Linked DNA regions of Ovis aries. The main gene of each other region encodes a partner of the protein of the gene in region 2 in a complex. Links are inferred from orthologs where the notes say so. Each region holds a gene or a part of one and is shown on either strand. Other genes may lie near its edges.

Region 1 (4,960 bases), on a different chromosome or scaffold from region 2:
CATGCCCAGAGCAGAACCGCTGTGGAGGGAGCGAAGCCGGGTCCGGCTTCCCCAGCCTGTAGCCCGTCCAGAGAGAGCGGCCCCCAGGTAGGCTACCCGCAGTGTGCCGCACCGGAGGCAATGAAGACTACCGGCCGCCCGAGAAAGCTCGGCTCCAACTGGAATCAGAGAAGAGTGATGAATAGGGCAGCTGGGAGTAAAAGCGGAAGCGGCGATAAGAACACAGACGCCAGATCTCTGAAGGTGCTCCCACTGGCACTGACCGGTCTAACAGCCGTGGTAGGATGTGAGGGGGCTTCCGCAGAGAGGCCAAGGGGTTGGTGGGTCCATTCCTATGGATGTCAATAACCAAAACCAGCCGAGTGGAATCAGGCATGTGTCCAGAACCAAGATCACTGGGGTCCGATGACCACAGGGAAGAAGGTGCATGAAACTACTGGCCAAGGGGTTTCAAAGGAGCTGGGGTGTGTTGAGTAGAAAGTGGGAAGCACCCCTGTCTGGGCCAGGAGGTGCCTGGGATATTAGAGAAGGAGCAGCCCCTTGGTTCAGGCTGCAGGGCCTGGTGGTGAGGGCTCAGTCAAGTCTGAGGTGGAAGAAGGGGGAGCCTGAAAGAGGAAGGTGCAGTGGTGGGGCAGCAGGCAGTGTCTGTCTTAGGGTCAGGACTGAGAAGACGCCAGGTGACATTATGTGTCTGTTGTACTTTTGGAGCCCAAGGGAAGTAGCAGGACAGGCCCAAAAGGCTTCTAGAGGGCAAGAGACCCTTCAGTCCCAGCCACAATCCAGAGGATGTGGGACACGGCCCCCACATGACCATAGTGAATACCCAAAGCCACCCCTCAGGACTTGTGCTCAGGACTCTGGATGTGTTGGGATGAGAATGACAGACTCCATGGTCGTGGGGCATGGCTCGTTATACCAGGCTGTGTCTCACTGCCCAGCAATCCCTTCTTGGCCCAGGCTGCTCACTTCATCCAGGGACATCCGCCTTCTTCAGGGTGCTCACCTGAAGCACCCTGATGAGCAGGGTGAGCAGCACTGAGGCTGCAAGGGGTGTGTAGTGCATGTCTTGGGGGCGGACCCTTAGTCATTGCTAGAGCCAGCACCAGGCCAGGATCCAAGGGCAAGGAAGTGCGGTGGGGAAGAGATAAAAGTACAGTGAAAGGTGCTTAGGTTTTATTCTGGGCTTGGGTGGCCCTGTGCTCAGTCCCCCAGCAAGACAGAGGCCTCTTGTACATGCTGCCGGACCACACGGTCCAGTACGGTATGTACATCCCGGGAAGCCCGGGCAGCGGCCTCTAGCACTTGCTCCAGGTGGTCCTCATGCAGTCTGGCATCCATCTCAAGCAGTGCAATCTGGCCTGAGGCTGGTAGCAAGGCCAGGGCCAGCTGGGGGCCCCCAGCTGCTTCCTCCACATGGCTGAGGTCTGCCAAAGCTGTTCCATCCACAAAGCCAGCTGAGCAGGCACACACAAAGTCCCGCATGGGTATCCCCGCGTCCAACACTGCCAGCGTGGCTGCATTCACACAAGCTGCGTAGGTCCCGCCGTCTGCCTGCAGCACCTGCAGGAACCCCCCAGTGGCATGAGTTTCAAGCTGCTGAACCCCAACTCCTCCTTTCTCTCTCCCCTCCACAGGCTGAGGGCTGCTGCCTGCTCACCTGCACATAGATGTCAATCTGGGAGCGTGGGTGCAGCTGTGTAAGGATGGCTGCCTCGAAGGTCTGACGCAGGTGCAGACCCATCTCACAGGACTTGCGGTCCCCGTGTGGCCGCCGCTTGCGCTCCCCTGTGCTGAAGGTTGCAGAACTGTACTGACAGTTCACCAGGGCCCGGTCAGGCAGGGCTCGTGCCCGGGAGCCTCTGATCTGGGGTAGGGTGGGGGAGAACACATGAGCCAGGCCCTTCCTCCCTCTACCTCCAACATCCCAACAAGCAACCACTTTACCTGCAAAACAACACAGCCCGAGGGAGGGCCATTGGGCCAGGCTCTAAGCCACCATCGTCCCTGGATCTCTCTCCTGACAGGCCTCCCTGTTTCCCCTCTTGACTCGTCCTCTCTCGACCCCATGCTTCCTTTGTATGAGAATCTGTTTACATATATCAAGTCTGATTCTACCTCCTCTGCACAATACATATACTGCTTACCTTATAAAGAGTTCCCATCACGCGTGAGATAAAAATCCTAAATCTTTTCCCTGTTTACAAAGGTCCTGGGTTCCTGCTTCCCTAGAAATCCCTCAGTCTCATTTGGAATTACCACCCTCTTCCCCATCACCAGTCTTTCTGCTCTGCAAGAGTGCCATGCTTACTTCTACCTCTCTGGCCTTAAGTCTCCAGCGCTGGAGTGGTGATAAACCCAAGCGGTTTTATTAACACTCTCTGTCTTCACGGAGTTTATGTTCCAGTGAGGAGACAAACAGTGAGAAATAAGTTAAACTGATGTCTGAGGAGGCGGGTGCGGGAAACCAGATAAGTGTGTGGATGTAAAGGAGGGAACTTGACTTGTAAAGGGTAGGTAAGGTGGTCTGGGGTGGGATGGGGTGAGGTGTCACCCAGAGGTGACGTCGGAGTGGAGCTGAGAGGTGAGGGAGCCAGTGAGAGCGGCCCTGGCGGTTTTAGGAGTAACAAAGCGGTGTAGCGAGCGCTGGAGAAAGGCAGGGACCGTCGTGCAAGACACTGTTAGGACTTTGGCCGCGGCCCCACAAGGCGGCGCGCGCCAGCCTCACCCCCGAGGCCTCTACTCAGCCAGGTAGCCCCTCACAGCCCGTAGTGGCCACCCCCGGAGGAAGCCCGGCTCGCGCGCGCCCACTCGCCTCGTGAGGCCCGTAGACCACCGCCAGCGCCTTGGTATTGCCCTGTTCGATGTAGGCCGAACCGTCGGCCTGCGCGAATACACCCATCCGCGCCTGGATCTTGCGCAGCTCCCCAGCGCGCCGCCCGTCCACTCGGTAGCCCTGGTCCGATAGGAGCTCCAGCCCAGCCATGCCGCCCGGGCGCTAGCCAGGCTTGAGCGCCCGGCAGAACTACACTTCCCGGTAGAATTGACTCCCCACTTCCGATTCCCCAGGACTACGGTTTCCGGGGCACCGACTCCGACTTCCGGTTCCGGACCCCTGCGATTCTCCCAGAGTTCCCGAGGGCACCACATCTCATTTCCGGTCCTTGCGGAACTGCGGCTGTGGGCCCGGGGAGGGACCCTTGCGGCCTTTTGGGGTACGCACTCGCGCCTGCAGGGCTGGAGGCATGCCGGACGTGGAGTCGCCGTGTCGTTTCTTCCCGGGTTGGTCATGGGGACGGCTCCCTCTACCATCCGGGCCTGCCCGCCCCGCGCCGCCGCCTCTCCCTCGGCCTCTCCACTGAGCCCCGCGCTTCCCGCGCCGCTGGCGCTCCTTTACTTCTGCTTGACGCTTGGTATCTCCCTCGAGGTTTGCGGGCGATAGCCGCCACTGCTGGTCTTAAGTTCTTCCGCGGTCATAAATGCAGGCCTTCTCCCAAGCTGAGATACACTCTCTGTTCGCAGTTGTTTTTTTTTTTTCTTTAAACCGTTTAGTTTTTACATTTGTCCGTTTAAAAAGCAGACACATTTATGTTGTACGTACACATGGTCAAATTTTTTAGTTTCAATTTTCCATGTTGCCTTGTTTCTCTGCACTCATCCCCCTATCTACTATAGCTTAAAAAATGGCTCCGTTTTTCTTCACACTCATAATTACATCCAGGTCACACACAGACACGTGTATATGCAGCTGTACATGTACAGCCATATAGTGGCCTTTGGAACTCTTATTTTTTAAAATGCGATTGTTTCATACACTTTTGCATTTAACTCAAAAATATAAAATCTGTCCAAGTAATCCTGTGGAACTCATAGTTTTTTGGTTGATACGAGTATCAAGTAATAAGTAGAATGTACCCAGCAACCACCCCATTGTGGGCAGTGGATGTGTGTCCCGGGGTTGAGTGAAGGCTGTGTGGGAGTTAGATTCTCCGTCCTTTCCCACCTGGAATAAATGTTAAAAGTTTTTTACATAATCCTTCCCTCTTCAGAGGGTTACTGCCATTCCTCTTGCATTTCGTGGCCTGATGTCAAATGCCCTGGAACAGCAGAGGGGCTCACAGGAGGGGGGATGAGATGTTTTCCTCCACAGCTGCCTCCTGTTTCCAGATACCATTTGCTTGGTGGTCAAGGTCACCATCAGGGAGCTCATTACCCTCCTCATTTGCATTATTCGGGCTTCTCTGGTGGCTCGGCTGGTAAAGAATCTACCTGCAGTGGAGGAGACCTGGGTTGGGAAGATCCCCTGGAGAAGGAAATGGCAACCCACTCCAGTCTTCTTGCTTGGAGAATCTTATGGACAGAGGAGACTGGCGGGCTATAGCCCATGGGGTTGTAAGAGTCAGACACAACTTTAGGGCATTATTCAGCCCCTCTGCAGTGCTTAGAAACCAGATCCCATGCTTCAGGTTTGAATAGGGAAGGATAAATCAGCAGGGCTGTGACACTGACTATAGGGAGGCGACATTCACTGGGGCTGAGGGCGGTGTGCACTCGGGGCTTTCCTGTCTGTGGTCATTGGTGACTGGCGATGACTGGCATTGTCGTGAAGCCTTCCTCCTTCACGTCTTTGGTGGCAGGTGGTGGCTGTTGGCCAGGGCTCAACTGAGGCTCTGAGAGAGAGCACATCTTCATGTGGCCTCTCCATCCAGCCTGGGCTTCCGCAAAGCACGGCACCAAGGTGGACTCCCAAGACAAAGTGGGTGTTTGTGGCGTTCTAAGACCTAGCCTCCAGAAGTCAGGTAGTGTCACTCTTGCCAGACTGTGGGTCAAGGCAGTCACCAAGGTCTGCCAGGCTCAAGGGGAGATGACATGGTCCTCCCTCCCCGCCCACAGGAGCAGTTCAGTGTCAAGTTGTGGGAAGAGCAAGTGGAACAGACGTGCTGTGGTGGGCTTGGGCCTAAGT
Region 2 (4,018 bases):
CATTTCCCCTCAAGGGAGCTACAGATGTAGGAGGAATTTCCATTCTTACTGCTAAGTTAGCAGATGAGGGAATTGCTTCTGAAAAGCCCAAATGAGACTCAAGATGTATTTTACCAAAGAAACCTTAATACATGAAATTTTTAGGTCTTACACTGCTTAATAAATCAATATAATCAAACATGAAAAGCCTCTAGGTACTTGTCAGTGTAGTTCAAAGTTTTCAAACAGACTTGAAATTTATAATGTGGATTCACCTTAAACACATTAGCTGATCAGATACTAACTTTCTGCTGGAAAAAAATTTTAAATGACTGCATTATTAGTTGCAAAAAGATTACATAAGCTTAAAAGAAGATATAATCAAAATTTACTGGGTTTTTTTGGTGAACTACAGTTTATCTAGATAGTTACAGAGTAGGAGTGATTTTTTTTTTTCAACTCCATCTAGAAACAAGATATCTGTATTTAAGCCTAGTGTGTTTTTTAAATTTTCCCCACCCCAAAAAACACTTCAGAATTAATAAAAACTCACAGCTTCTTTACTCCCTCTTACCTTTCCTGAAGAGATGCATAAATCTTCTTTCTGAATTATCTGTGAACTTGATTTAAAGACAGAGCACAGTAAACAAATGTTCAAAAACTCTAAAATGAATGACAGTCAGACTTCATCATGATACTCTTACTTCTCAATGACATCTGCGATGAACTGGCTGGCCACCTGGGCCTCTTCTCCAGGAGGGCCAGACCGAAATCTCCACGAACACAGAGGTGACAGGTCCACGTTAGGAACTGAAAGAAACACTGCAGCTGTGAACCAGATTTCACCTTTGGCTTAGTTTTAAAGGCGTTATCCACTACAAAGGCAAGTGGAAAGCATTATATAACACATCAATTACATTCTTTTCCATTTTTCGTGAAAATCTTAGGCTTAGATAAAAATTTATATTTTCTGACTTTCTCTGCACAAAAATAATACAGCACTACACAGCACCCCAAGCATTTAAGACTTCCTTCAATTGTAAATTATTCACAAAAGTTTTTAGGTTTCTTTCAAAGTACCCCAATCTGTAACAGTATATAGCCTCACTAATCATACCAGCTGTTCTGCATTTTTAAAATGCTGGTTCCCACTGTAAAGAAAGGATGGTCCAAATTAAGAAAAAGAAAATCATAGTGGTATAAAGGAAGTGTTTATGGAAATAGAAGTTTGCAATTACAGCCCTTTGCCTAAGAGTCAAAGGCTGATGGTTGATGACACCTGTATAAACTGGTCAAAGAAGTATGACAAAGGTATTTAAAAAATTCTGTACCTTGCTGTTATACTATCTTCTTTTAACAATTTTAATATTTAACAGGATTATTTAACTTAATTTACACTATCTTCTAACATACATCAAACTTTTCAGGACTGTCTGAAGCTTCTGAATAATTTTCAATTCACCCACTAAGATTTAACTATAATATTATTTATTAAAAAATTACAAAACCGTTTAACTTACCAACATATCCTTTATCAGGGGCATCTGTTGGTGGTGCTCCAAATTCCTAGAAGCATACAAACGTTTCCTATGAAAGAAGCTACTAGAGAATTGTGAAGGCAGCAATCAGTCAAGGAAGGCTCTACCAAAGACCATCTTAGCTAGTTAGCAACATGAGCATCCACTGTGCCTGGGAAGGTGGGTCAGGGGCTCTGGAGACATCAGCACCACTCGCACTAGCTCTGCAAGGCAAGAAGGCAGTATGGCAAAGCTGACTAGTGCACCTCTGCAAAATGACCGGAGGTTCTTAAAAGTTCTGCCCCACCACTCTTCTCCTTACTCAGTAGCCAAGAATCTGAATTTAAACCCCAACCTCGAGACAATATTAAGCCCCTAAACTGGCAAGTCTTATGAAATGTCACCCCATTTATTGAGGAAGAATCTCAGCTTAGACTAACTCAGAGCTCAGTGTAGTCAAAGCAGAGACTTTGGAGTCAGCTTATACTCAAGTATTTGGAGAGAAAAATTTCCAGTGACTCTTCAGAGGATTCAGTGCAGTTAGTTGCTCAGTCGTGTCTGACTCTGCGACCCCACGAACTGCAGCATGCCAGGCCTCCCTGTCCATCACCAACTCCCAGAGTTTACCCAAACTGATGTCCAACAAGTTGGTGATGCCATCCAGCCATCTCATCCCCTGTCGTCCCCTTCTCCTCTTCCTGCCCCTAATCCCTCCCAGCATCACGGTCTTTTCCAATAAGTCAACTCTTCACTTGAGGTGGCCAAAGTATTGGGAGTTTCAGCTTCAGCATCAGTCCTTCCAGTGAATACCCAGGACTAATCTCCTTTAGGATGGACTGGGTGGATCTCCTTGCAGTCCAAGGGACTCTCAAGAGTCTTCTCCAACACCACAGTTCAAAAGCATCAGTTCTTCAGCTCTCAGCTTTCTTCACAGTCTAACTCACATCCATACGTGACCACTGGAAAAACCATAGCTTTGACTAGACAGACCTTTGTTGGCAAAGTAATGTCTCTGCTTTTTTAATATGCTATTTAGGTTTGTCATAACTTTCCTTCCAAGGAGTAAGTGTCTTCTAATTTCATGGCTGCAATCACCATCTGCAGTGATTTTGGAGACCCAAAAAATTAAGTCTGACACTGTTTCTACTGTTTCCCCATCTAGTTCCCATGAAGTGATGGGGCCAGATGCCATGATCTTTGTTTTCTGAATGTTGAGCTTTAAGCCAACTTTTTCACTCTCCTCTTTCACTTTCATCAAGAGGCTTTTAGTTCCTCTCCACTTTCTGCCGTAAGGGGGGTGTCATCTGCATATCTGAGGTTATTGATATTTCTCCTGGCAATCATGATTCCAGCTTGTGCTGCTTCTAGCCCAGCGTTTCTCATGATTAAACTGGGCAATTCTGAAAGTACCCAACATAAGGTGCTAGAAACAGCAAGTACTCAGTAAACGGTAGCTATTACTCCCTCAAACTTTTGAGCAATTTTCTACACATTTGCACAGATTAAATGCCATCACTGGATAAAAATATGTCACCAAAAATACCTTAAAATTTCTCAAATTACAGCCAAATTCTTTAAAAATTAAAGGCAGTGAGGATTTTTTAAAAAATTGTTTCAGCAGATTTGCAAATGTTCACAAATTATAATTAAGTCATTAAACTTGGGTTGTATTATCTAAAACTCAAAGGTTAAAACTTGGGAAATGAAAACAAATACTAAAACACCTGACTGCCCAATCAACAGTAGAATTATAGATGTATATTATAATCTACTAAGTATATGAAGCTAACTTAGTAACTCAAATCTTGGTAGTAAGTATATTAAACCTACCGCTTTAATTCCACAAATTACTGTAGTATTTCCAAGCTTCACTAAAGAAGAACCATCTGCGGTACCAATCGAACCTGAAAAGTATTTTTTTAAAATGAAAATGTTTTCTTCTTTTATGTATGATTTTTATCTCTAAATATCTAAGATGTCCGTGAAAATTTACTCCTTGCTTGAGTCTTGGTAAAATTATAGTTGACCCTTAAACAACATGGGCTTGAACTATACAGGTCCACTTATACAAAGATTATTTTCAATACATACTTCCACAGTACTACGTGATCCACAGTTGGTTGAATCTAAGGATGCTGAACCTTGGATACGGAGTGCCAATCCATAACGGTAAGATTATACTTGGATTTTCAACTCTGTGAAGGTCAGTGCTCCTAACCCCCTCACTGTTCAAGGGTCAACCGAATTGTTTTAGGAATTATTCATTTTCTTGATTTTGAGTGAATCATTTGTCATTTAATCACAGGGCTGTTATTAAAATTTCTTGACAAAAATCACTGTAATCCCTTAGACCTGGTAGAATTTGTCTAAAACACCGTTTAAATGGCTCAGAGGCTAAAACCTGGGAATGTCATATGGGTAAAATTGGAAAATTCCATGTTTGGCAACAGAAGATTTAATAATGTAAGATATAGAAGGAAACCAAACCTTACAAGTTTTGAAGGGGGAAAACACTTCAGAGT
Region 3 (5,305 bases), on a different chromosome or scaffold from region 2:
GCTGAGGCTAAGGCACTGGGAGCCTCAGAGCTCCAACAGGCCATTCTAATGTGCAGCTGGACCTGCAACCTGCAGTGGGAAGACATGGAGCTCCAGCACGGTTTCAAAACACAGGCCTGCAACCAGAATCGCTACAGCAGATCATTTAAAAATACAGAGGGCTGGCATCCCTGGGTTGGGAAGATCCTCTCGAGGAGGAAATGGCAACCTGTTCTAGTATTCTTGCTGGGATAATCCTATGGGCAGAGAAGCCTGGCTGACACGACTGAGCAACTAATCAATAAGGACAAAGAGGGCTAGCCTTAGTTGGCATAGGTGGGTTCTGGGGCTTGGCATTTTTAACCTCACTGGAGAGTCTAGTGAGGGTTTGCAGAGGACCCTGCTCCAGGGTCCTGGGCTTTGGGGTTTTAGAACATACAAGGGGCTCAGTATTTCTTTCTTTTTTAGAACACACAAGGGGCTCAGTATTTCTTAAATTCTAAGAACCTCCAGGCACCTGCACTGAGCAAGAGATCTAAGCCTGGAGAGGTCCCTGGCAGAGGCTTTTTTGTTCTGGGGCTGGCGAGGAAGAGCTGCTATACAACTGAGGGGCTCTCTTGGCTCCAGGAGAATGGACCCTGGAGGAGGAAATTGTCCAAGCAGAAATAGATCCACACCGGGGTCTTCCTTCCTGTTACTCCAAAGGCACTGTCTGTGCTTCACCTGGGCACAAGAGTGCCTCTCTTCTCATCTTCCTGAGGCCATGGCTCTAGCAATTCCCTCCCCTGTGGACCCCACATCCATCTAACTCCTCGCCCATCTATCTTATCCTTTTACAGCAAAGTTCCTGAAGAGCGGTCTCTGCTCACTGTCTCTTTCTTTTCCTCGACTCCACCCCTCCACCGGAACAGCTTTTTCTTTTTTACATTTTACTTATTATTTTTGGCTGTGCGTTGGGTCTTCGTTGTGATATGTAGGTTTCTTATTGCACTGGCTTCTCTTGTGGTGGAGCACAGGCTCTAGGGTGTGTGGGCTCAAGTAGCTGTGATGCAAGGCATGTGAAGCTTGCTGGACCAGGGATCGAACCTGTGTCCCCTGCACTACGAGCTCAGAATCTTAACCAGGGAAGTCCCAGAGTGACTCTTGGCTGCACCACCTACAATAGACAACCAGGTTGTCAACCCACAGGTCTAGTCCATCCTCACGATTCAGTCTCTCAGCCGGACCAAAACGGTTGGTCCTTACATTTCAGACACGTTCTCTGGGCTCCAGGTCGCTGCCCTCTCTTGGTTTTTCTCCTACCTTACTAGTTGCTCCTTCTCTATGTCTTTTCCTAGCTCCACCCAGGCTAGAAGGCAAAGGGCTAAGTTCTAAGTTCTCTTCTCCACCTATATTGATTCTCTTGTTGATTCTATCCAATCAGTAGCTTGAACTGCCAAAGGACTCCCAAATTCCAGCCTTGTATGTCCGACTGCCGAATCCACACTGCCATGGGAGAGTCTATTAGGCCTTGCAAATGTAATGTTCCCAACTGAACTCATTGTCTCCCAGCACAGCTGGTCTGGGTAAAAAACTGACCCTGTCACACCCCCAAACCAAACCAGCTGCAATTTATCAGTTTGCCTTCAGACTCTCACCACCTGTACTGCTTCCACTCTGGTCTGCACCACCCTCCTCTCCTTTCCCCCGTGCCCTTTGCCATCAACACTGCAGCCAGAAAGTCTAAAATCTATAAAAAAAATATATATTCAGAGCATGTCACAAGTCTCCATTCTCAGTCACTAGACTTTATATGAGGGGCAGGTCTCCTTATCGCCACCCCACCTCCTGTCACCGCTGCAGGCACCCCGTCCCCCTGACTGTCCCTCAAACACACCAGGCAAGTTTTGGCCTCAGGGCCCTGTGGTTCCTAATGCTTCATAAGCTTTCCTCTTGATCTGTTTAGGGTTTGCTCCCCCTGCAAAAAGCCAATTTTAGGGAAAGAAACTGCTTTAAAATTTTTTTATTTGGCTGTACTGGGTCTTCACTGCAACACGCAGGATCTTTAGTTGGGGCATGCGAACTCTTAGTTGCACCATGTGGGATCTAGTTCCCTTACCAAGGACTGAACCCAGGCCCTCTGCATTGGGAGCTCAGTCTTAGCCACTGGATCACCAGGAAAGTCCCATCTTTAAGTGTTTATTCAAAAGGTACCATCTCAGTTGATGCCTTTCCTGACCATCCTAATTAAGACTGCAACCCTCTCTGGCACACCCCAATCTACACCCTTACTGTATTTTTCTTGTTTTCTACTACATATTTTACTTATCTTTTGCCTGTCTCTCTGACTAGAATGTAAGAATGTCAAATCCGTTACCGCAGGGATTTTTAAAAAATTTATTTACTTATTCTCAGTGTCCAGAACAATACTAAGCAAAGGTACATGTTCAATGAAAGAATGAATGAAAGCAGGTTTTGTATTTGGGTTTCAGGTAATGCCCTAGAGCAGGGTCTGAAGCATTTATGGGGGTGACCCTTAGGCCTATCTCCAGAGGAACATTTCCCTCAGAGGCGTCAGGGAACTGAGTCTAGTTTCAGAGTTGTTTAGCTAGGAAAAGGGGATATTTCCCTAATAGGTAAGAACTGCTCCAATCTTAGGGATATAAGCAGAGTTGTGTATCCCAGCCAAAGGGACATTTACCCAAGAGGTGGGGCTGGGGACATCACCATCCATCTGAGAAGTAACTATTTGGATAAAAGATCTGCCACCGGGCTAGGGAGTACACCAGAAGTGGTGATCTGACAGTCCACTGGGTATTTATGCAAACAAACAGGTTTGCCTCAGCCTGGGATGTATGGACCCAGGGTGCGTGTATGGGAAACCGGAGAGGAATCCAGTCAAGGGAGACCCCGGGGTAAGAATATTTCCCCTATTCTGGAGTATTCATTCTTTAGAAGCGGTCTGCCCTCTCCCATTCTGCGTACTTTAACAATCTTCTCCTTGCTAGTCTGGAGGGAGAGATATATGTCTACCTGCGTATACAGTAGTGTCCACCCAGGCAAGAACTGCACTAGTTCAGGAGAGATTTTTACCAGCTAGCGCGATACATTGTAACCGCCCCCCGCCCCACCAAATAATACAACCTAGTAGTTCCTACCTTGCAGGAAAGAGGCAGAGCCATCAGGCCGGGACAACAAGTTCTGTTCGCAGGCAAAGTGCCGGAGGCTACAGCCGGGGCCCCTAGGGCCGGGCTCTGTCCGAGAATCAGCCCGAATCTTCGATTCAGTCTGCATTGCCCCCTCCATAGCCCCGGAGCCCACGTGCAGCCGGGGCTTGTTGCTTCCTCCCAGAAGCGCGCGCTTGCGTACGAGGTGCGTACGCTGTACGCACGCGCCGACCCGGGGGCTCCAGGAGTGGCGCCCGCACGTGGCTCGGCGTTTACTAACAATCTGGACCCTCCCACTCCCGCCTCGAAAGTCCAGGAAAGCCATTGGACAGAAGAGAAGAGTGGGCGGGCCTTGGCATGAGCTCGTCCTACCCGAGGCCCCCGGCCCTGAAACCCTGAGGCTCTGGACGGGTTGTCCTCTTCTTTGCCGGTTACAGGAATAACTAACGTGAGGCGGTCAGAGTAATTTTGGGAAGTTAGGTGGCTTTATGCACCTACATGTGTGTCCCAGAGGCTGCAGAACTAGTAGCGTATGGTTTCTTGGCAGGGTGTTGCTGGCATTTGAGTCAGGCTTATGAAGGGGCAGCCCCGGTCTCGCCGAGGAGAGGGGCGGATCTCCGAGGGATGGTCAGCCAAGATGGCGGTGGCGGCTGCGGCGGCGAGGGTTTGGAGACCAAGTCGAGGCTTGGGACGGGCGGGCCTCCCGCTCCTGCGGCTGCTTGGGGCTCGTGGGCTGGCTAGATCTGTGAGTACCTGGAGCACCTGAAAGTTTTCTCGAAAGAGGTATAGGAATGTTTATGCAGTCTTCAGAGAGAGGGGGTTCCCTTAGGTCCCTGTAGGAAGTGAAGGAAGGGCTGTGAGAGAAAGGACGAGGGCTGGGAGAACCACTTGGACAGGACATGCAAGGGAATAACTTCCACTTCCTTAGGAGAAGAAAAGCCAGGCAGCTCCTTTGTGACCCTAAGGGAGGGAGAAAACTTGGAGAGAGCGAGGTAGTTACTTAATTGCCGCCCATCCCCAGGGGAGGCCGCTTGGAGAATACGGGAGAAGGGTGTGACCTCTCCCCTCAGGAGCTGGAGAAAATTGTGTTTGTAAGGGAAAGACTTTCTTCTCAATACGGTCTACTTTCAAGGAGGAGGAGAGAGACATCAGTTGCCCTTTCAGGGACTTTTATGGTGCCCCGTGTTTCTTTGCTCCAATTCTGATTTTTAAATAAACTGCGTTAAAAAAAAAATCTTTCTGGGACTTCCCTGGTGGTCCAGTGACTGAGACTCCGCGCTTCCAATGCAGGGGGCCTGGGTTTCATCCCTGATCAGGGAACTAGGTCCCACGTGCCGGCAGTTAAAGAGTTCGTATGCTGCAGCTAAAAATCCTGCATGCCATAACTGCAAGACCCAGTGCAGCCAAATAAATAAAGATAAAATACTTATAAAAAGTCGTGGCGCCTGTGCCTCCGGTATAGAACGGTAGCCAAGGACCTTGTTGGTTTTGGTCACTCTAAGGCGGAGGTGATCAGTGAATATTTGTTGAACTAATGAGGGGAGAGGTCCTGGCAGAGCACTTACTCCATATTTCTGAGAAACAGTGGAGAAATGCCTTGTTTCTTGTCAAAAGGAGCAGACTCCTTTTAGATTGATGCTGCTAATGGCATGCTCGCACAGCAGAAATGTAGATGGGAACCACTATTTAGAGAGACAGAGGCAGGGGACTTGAGAAAAGCTGTGAACTGAGATTTTGCATATAACAGAGTAGTGGTTAAGAAGATTGGCTCGTGCTAAATCATGTGAGGCGGTGTTCTGTAATCTGCCTTTTTCTAGCTCTGTAGCTTTGGGCAAGGGACTGCTCTTCTCTGGACCTGATTTTCCTCTCTGTAAAATGCTAACAATGGTCACCTCATAGAGTTGTTGTGAAAATTAAATATGTAAAGTGCTAAGAACTGGATCTGGCATATGATGAGGGCAATTGGAGTGTTAGCCACTGTTGAAAGTGAGGTTGGAGGGATGGGACAAAAACTCACCTCGGAAATGGGGGGAGAAGAAGGGAGGTGACCTGGGAAAGGCCTGGATTGGTGAAGGCCTTGGCGGGAATTCTGTCCAGACCTTGTGGGGCTGGGTCTGACCATCTGATCCCAAACCATTAGGAAAGGAAAATGGAATTTGGGGCGAAGCTCTTGCTAGAGG
Region 4 (4,470 bases), on a different chromosome or scaffold from region 2:
CCCCAAGATGGAATCACATCTAGGAAAGCTGGGCTGAGTGGACAAAATGCCATGCGTCTGGTGGTTCTGGGTTCACGGGTCTCAGGAAGAATCTACAGTAACACCAAGATGCCAGAGCTGCCAGGAAAGGGAAACGGGGGTTGGAGGCTGGGAGTTGTAAGTAGATGGCCCCTTGCCAGCCTCACCGCGCTTGGCCCTCTGTGCTAGGGTCCTGCTTCTGCTTCTCCTACAGGTCAAGAATCAGGCGTCAGACCAGGGCTGTCAGTAGCAGGCTGGAACCCCTCCAGGCCCATCAGCTCCAGGCACCGTCCTTGCCTTGAGTGTTTTCTCAAGGGTCTCTCAGCAGCACCCACGCCACCCATTCTGGAGCCAGGGACATGGAGGCGTGGCTCAGCCAGACCAGCCAGGCACCCGGCCCTAGTGCTGGTTTTAGCTTTGTCCAGATGGCAGTCTAGATGCTGCAGGGAAGGGGGCGGCCCGCAGCTGCCCGGCACCAGCACACCATCTCATAGAGCTGAGGCCCGCTCCTGCAAGCGGAGCTGGATGCCCACCCCCCCGGAGCAGCGTCAGCTCTCTTCCCTCTCAAAGCCCCCAGTCCTGTTTGAGCGTCCACAGGGTTACCATTTTTACTTTGTTTCTATCTTGTTTCTTTCTGCTGTGATTCTGTATTTCAGATCTGATTTGGAAATATATATTATGTCACTGGGGTCAAATAAAATTTGTATTTTTCCCCCTAGTCAGGGATTCTTGGTGTGGTCCCCAGGCCTCATTCTGGTCTCTCAGCTGCCTGAGCCAGCCTTTCCTACAGCTGAGCAGGCCCCTAAGACACACAAGCTCAGGTTACACCAAGCTGGTGCAGGGAGGACCCCAGGCGGCCCTTTCGCCAACTCAGACCTGAGCACAAACCTGCAGGGCTCAGGAGCCACACAGGGCAGAGCCCACCCTCCTGGTCAGACAGACCCGCTCTGCCCTACAGAATGGCATCTCCAGCATCCAGAAACTCTCACTCCTGGCAGTTCAAGTGCCCTCTCACTAGTGGACCAGCAACCCCAGGACACATTAAAGATAATGCTTGTCCCAAGCCCTGAGAACACAGTCCCCAGCTCAGAAGAGCCTTATTCATTAAAGTCGGTACCAAAAACAACAGAATGTTTCAGATTATAAAAAGAGTTTTTGTTTGGGTTCAGATATACGTGGAAGGCACAGCCTCCTTGTCCCCGCTCTCAAAAGCAGCCCAGTTATTCAGGAGGGAGCCCCCGGCTGGCCTGCATAGGCATCATTTTCCCGATGAGTACAGCGGAAGTCCTTTCCAACTTAGGAGTCAAGATGCGCTGGCAGGTTTCTTCAACTGGATCGTGGCTGGGAGTCAACTCAATTAGAAAAGTTTCTTTAACGAAGCAGTCTGGAAAGAATCGCTCCAACACGGCTATTCTGAGCACGCCTCCGCAGATCCTCCGCGGTGCTCCCGGTTCTCAGCTCGGCGCACGCATCTGCAGGCCGACGGCGCGGGTCCTTGTGGCGGCAGCTGCGGGTCGGTCCTTGGCGTCCGTCGTTGCTCGGGTCTCTGGCTCAGAGGGGCGCAGCGGCACCCCTCCGGCGGGCGGCCCGCACCAAGCACTGCTGGAGAACGGGGTAGAGGCGCTGGCAGCCCTCGAGCCCCAGGCGCACGGCCTCCGCCCAGCTCTCGGTCGGGCCGCCCTCCCCGCTGCCCAGCAGCCCAGCCACCTGGTTGAGCACCGGCATGAGCGCCACGGTGAGGCCGGCGGCGGCGCGCTCCTCCTCCAGCAGCGTGGGGTCCAGCAGCCAGGCGGGCGCGGGCGCCGGCGCGCGGCTCAGGCCGCAGCCCACCACCAGGTCGTACATCTCGACGCCCGCGTCGGCCAGGGCGAGCGCGGCGGCTGTGAGCGCGGCGGCCAGCGCCGAGCCGCCGTCCTCCAGCAGCAGCGCCGACACCTCCAGCTGCGCGCGCGGGTAGCGGCCCAGGCGCACGGCCGGCTCGAGCGCCTCCTGCAGCGCCAGCGCCAGCTCGCGCTCCTCGCCGCCGCCCGGTGGGGCGCGGCGCCGGCGGCCCGAGAAGGGCGCGCGGCGGAAGTCGCAGAGCAGGCGGCCGCGCAGCGCCGCGGGGGCCTCGCCGCCCGCCCCGGCCGGGCCGCCGCCGCGCTCACCGCCCTCGGCCGGGCGCGGGCCCGACACGGCGCACAGCACCTTGGTGCCGCCCGCCTCCAGGTAGGCCGAGCCCTTGGCCTGGCTCAGCAGCCCGGCGCGCGCGTACACCGGCCGCAGCCGTGCCGGGTCGCGAGGGGCCGGCGCCTCGCCCTCGTCGGCCGCGTACAGCTGCGGCGGCTGCGACTCCTCGGGCCCGCGGATGCGGCGGTGGTCCCCGGGCATGGCGGCGCTGCTGCCGGCCGGCTCCGCGGGTCAGCGGGGCCCCGCGCGCCGGCGCTTCCGCCCGCCTGCCCGGCCGCGCGAGGGTGCGCGGGAGAGCGGCTGGCGCCACACCGCCCCCTGCCGCCCCGGAGGGGGACGGTGCGCGTCGCGGAGCCCCGGGCCACCGCGAGGACGGCCAGAGCTGGGTGCATGGGTGGATCAGACGGGCCTGCAGAAGTGGGGTCTAGACCGGCCCCGCTGACCTCTAGCCTTCACGCCAGCGCAAGCCCAGCGCGTGGGTCTTCTTCCTCTCACTTGTGAAGCTGTAATCGGTCCTACACTAGTGACACAACCGTATACATGTTCCCCCGCCGCCTTGTCCAAGAGGGCCCTTTGGTACTGCGCCCTGGCTGGCACAGCTTGTGGAGTGCTTTTGGAACTCGCTCCCGCGCTGCGGACTGTGTGAGCTTTGTATCCCTCACACTCCTCACCTGGCTTGCTTTTTTGCAGCCAGGGCCTCAGCACCCTTCCTGTTTCTCCTCTTCTTCACCCCCAGGCCTTGTGACTGGTGGTCTCTGCTTCTTCTCTCAGCACAAACCTGCTTTTCTGCTCCCTCCAAGTCAGCAGGGCTGAGAATGATTCAGGGCCAGCCTGCTGTACCCAGGGGACTTGAAGTCAGCCAGAGAGGGCACAACTAAATACTACACACTACAGCTCCCACACCCAGCTGTCTTCAGGCTGGGGTAAATGGACAGAACCAGGTCAGTCTCCATCTTCACCGTCCAAGTTAGGTCCTGAAACCTGGAATGACCTGGCAGTCAAGGGTGTTGGGAGGAGGCAACTGATGTTCCCTAAAAACCTCCTATACCAAGGAATGTCTCTGACCTCACATCCAACCTGTACATCAGGAGAGGAAAAGACATAGGAGACTTATCAACGAGAATGTTCTTCTGTAAAAAGCACCAAAAACGAAGACGCTCTCCGCTGCCAGCAACCCCAGGGACCATCTTCATCACCCTATTCTGTGAGCCATCCCCATAGATGTTTTGACGCAAATCCAGGCACCATTATTCTCAAAGTTCAGGGGTCTGGGGCTGGACTCAGCAAGGGCCGCAACCAGAAACCAGTTGGAACCACAGCCACTAGTCTACAGACACCCAGGGAAGCACAAGTTATCACAGGAGGGAGGGTGAGAAGGGAGGAGGAGTAAAAGAATCACGTGGCGGTATCCTGTCAAGTATTGCACATGGCCTTTTTATTCTCTGCAGCAGAAAATGATTCTTCCCTTGAGGCCCATAGCACTGAGTCTGCAAAGAACTCTCTACAGACACAAGTGTGATGATGAAAAAGCAATCCTGGGGTAGTAGTTCTAGGTGGACGGCACGGATGTGCTCAGGGCAGAAATGTAACATGGGCGTTGAGTCACAGGCTGGCTCTCAGGTGAAGTTCCGGTTACTGCTGGGTTAGGACAGATGGGACTGTTTAAAGGTCTCAAGATTCAAACGTCCTTGTGGTGGAAGGAGAGCTGGCTGGATGGGTGTGCCTGGGTCGGGGAGCGGGGGAGATGCCTCCTGGCGCACCTGCCCTTCCCTCTCAGTTCTTCACGTCTCCCAGGCGCAGCTGGGCAAAGGAGGTGGCCAGCTGCAGCGCCTCCTGCAGGCAGCCCACGTTCTTGCCCGTGGCCTGAGCAGACACGTCTTTGCCACCGCCTTTGCCATCCATCAGGCCTGACACCTGCTGCACCCACTCACTGGCCTTCAGGCCCCGGTTGGCTGCATTCTAGAAGACAGGAAGGCAGAGCGGGAGTCAGGACTGAGAACGGGATTAAGGCAGACAAGGAGAGGGCTGGAGCCAGACACCCAATCCTGCCCCGAGGGATGCCGCCAGGGCTGAGATCATACAGCTGGTACCACAGCCAGGGCGATGCATACGGAGCAGCAGAGCCAGCAGGGTTAAACGTATGCACCGGGGGGGAGGGCCTGAGGCTGAGGGCACTAGGGAGGTGACAGGTGGGCAACAGAATGGCATCTCCAGCAGGCTGCACGCACGCATGCACACACACATGCACACACACACGCATACACGCACGCAGGCACACACACA

Evidence for each region.
Region 1: EXOSC8 (region 2) and EXOSC4 share a complex: the UniProt entries of both Homo sapiens proteins name them as parts of the RNA exosome core complex. The link is inferred for Ovis aries from reciprocal best matches to the Homo sapiens genes EXOSC8 and EXOSC4.
Region 3: EXOSC8 (region 2) and EXOSC5 share a complex: the UniProt entries of both Homo sapiens proteins name them as parts of the RNA exosome core complex. The link is inferred for Ovis aries from reciprocal best matches to the Homo sapiens genes EXOSC8 and EXOSC5.
Region 4: EXOSC8 (region 2) and EXOSC6 share a complex: the UniProt entries of both Homo sapiens proteins name them as parts of the RNA exosome core complex. The link is inferred for Ovis aries from reciprocal best matches to the Homo sapiens genes EXOSC8 and EXOSC6.

Annotation. Positions count from the first base shown.
Region 1 is NC_056062.1:13,709,648-13,714,607, forward strand, and holds EXOSC4 (exosome complex component RRP41), read right to left. Parts: upstream 3,043-4,960; 5' UTR 2,984-3,042; coding exon 2,813-2,983; exon of another isoform or gene 1,865-2,812; coding exon 1,658-1,864; exon of another isoform or gene 1,635-1,657; intron 1,561-1,634; coding exon 1,201-1,560; 3' UTR 1,152-1,200; downstream 1-1,151. UniProt on the Homo sapiens protein: Non-catalytic component of the RNA exosome complex which has 3'->5' exoribonuclease activity and participates in a multitude of cellular RNA processing and degradation events.
Region 2 is NC_056063.1:24,976,682-24,980,699, forward strand, and holds part of EXOSC8 (exosome complex component RRP43), read right to left. Parts: intron 3,401-4,018; coding exon 3,327-3,400; intron 1,546-3,326; coding exon 1,500-1,545; intron 790-1,499; coding exon 684-789; intron 600-683; coding exon 554-599; intron 1-553. UniProt on the Homo sapiens protein: Non-catalytic component of the RNA exosome complex which has 3'->5' exoribonuclease activity and participates in a multitude of cellular RNA processing and degradation events.
Region 3 is NC_056067.1:50,092,489-50,097,793, forward strand, and holds the start of EXOSC5 (exosome complex component RRP46), read right to left. Parts: upstream 3,452-5,305; 5' UTR 3,451-3,451; coding exon 3,117-3,450; intron 1-3,116. Other genes in the region: BCKDHA (2-oxoisovalerate dehydrogenase subunit alpha, mitochondrial), read left to right, coding at 3,763-3,870. UniProt on the Homo sapiens protein: Non-catalytic component of the RNA exosome complex which has 3'->5' exoribonuclease activity and participates in a multitude of cellular RNA processing and degradation events.
Region 4 is NC_056067.1:1,304,674-1,309,143, reverse strand, and holds EXOSC6 (exosome complex component MTR3), read right to left. Parts: upstream 2,432-4,470; 5' UTR 2,389-2,431; coding exon 1,570-2,388; 3' UTR 1,152-1,569; downstream 1-1,151. UniProt on the Homo sapiens protein: Non-catalytic component of the RNA exosome complex which has 3'->5' exoribonuclease activity and participates in a multitude of cellular RNA processing and degradation events.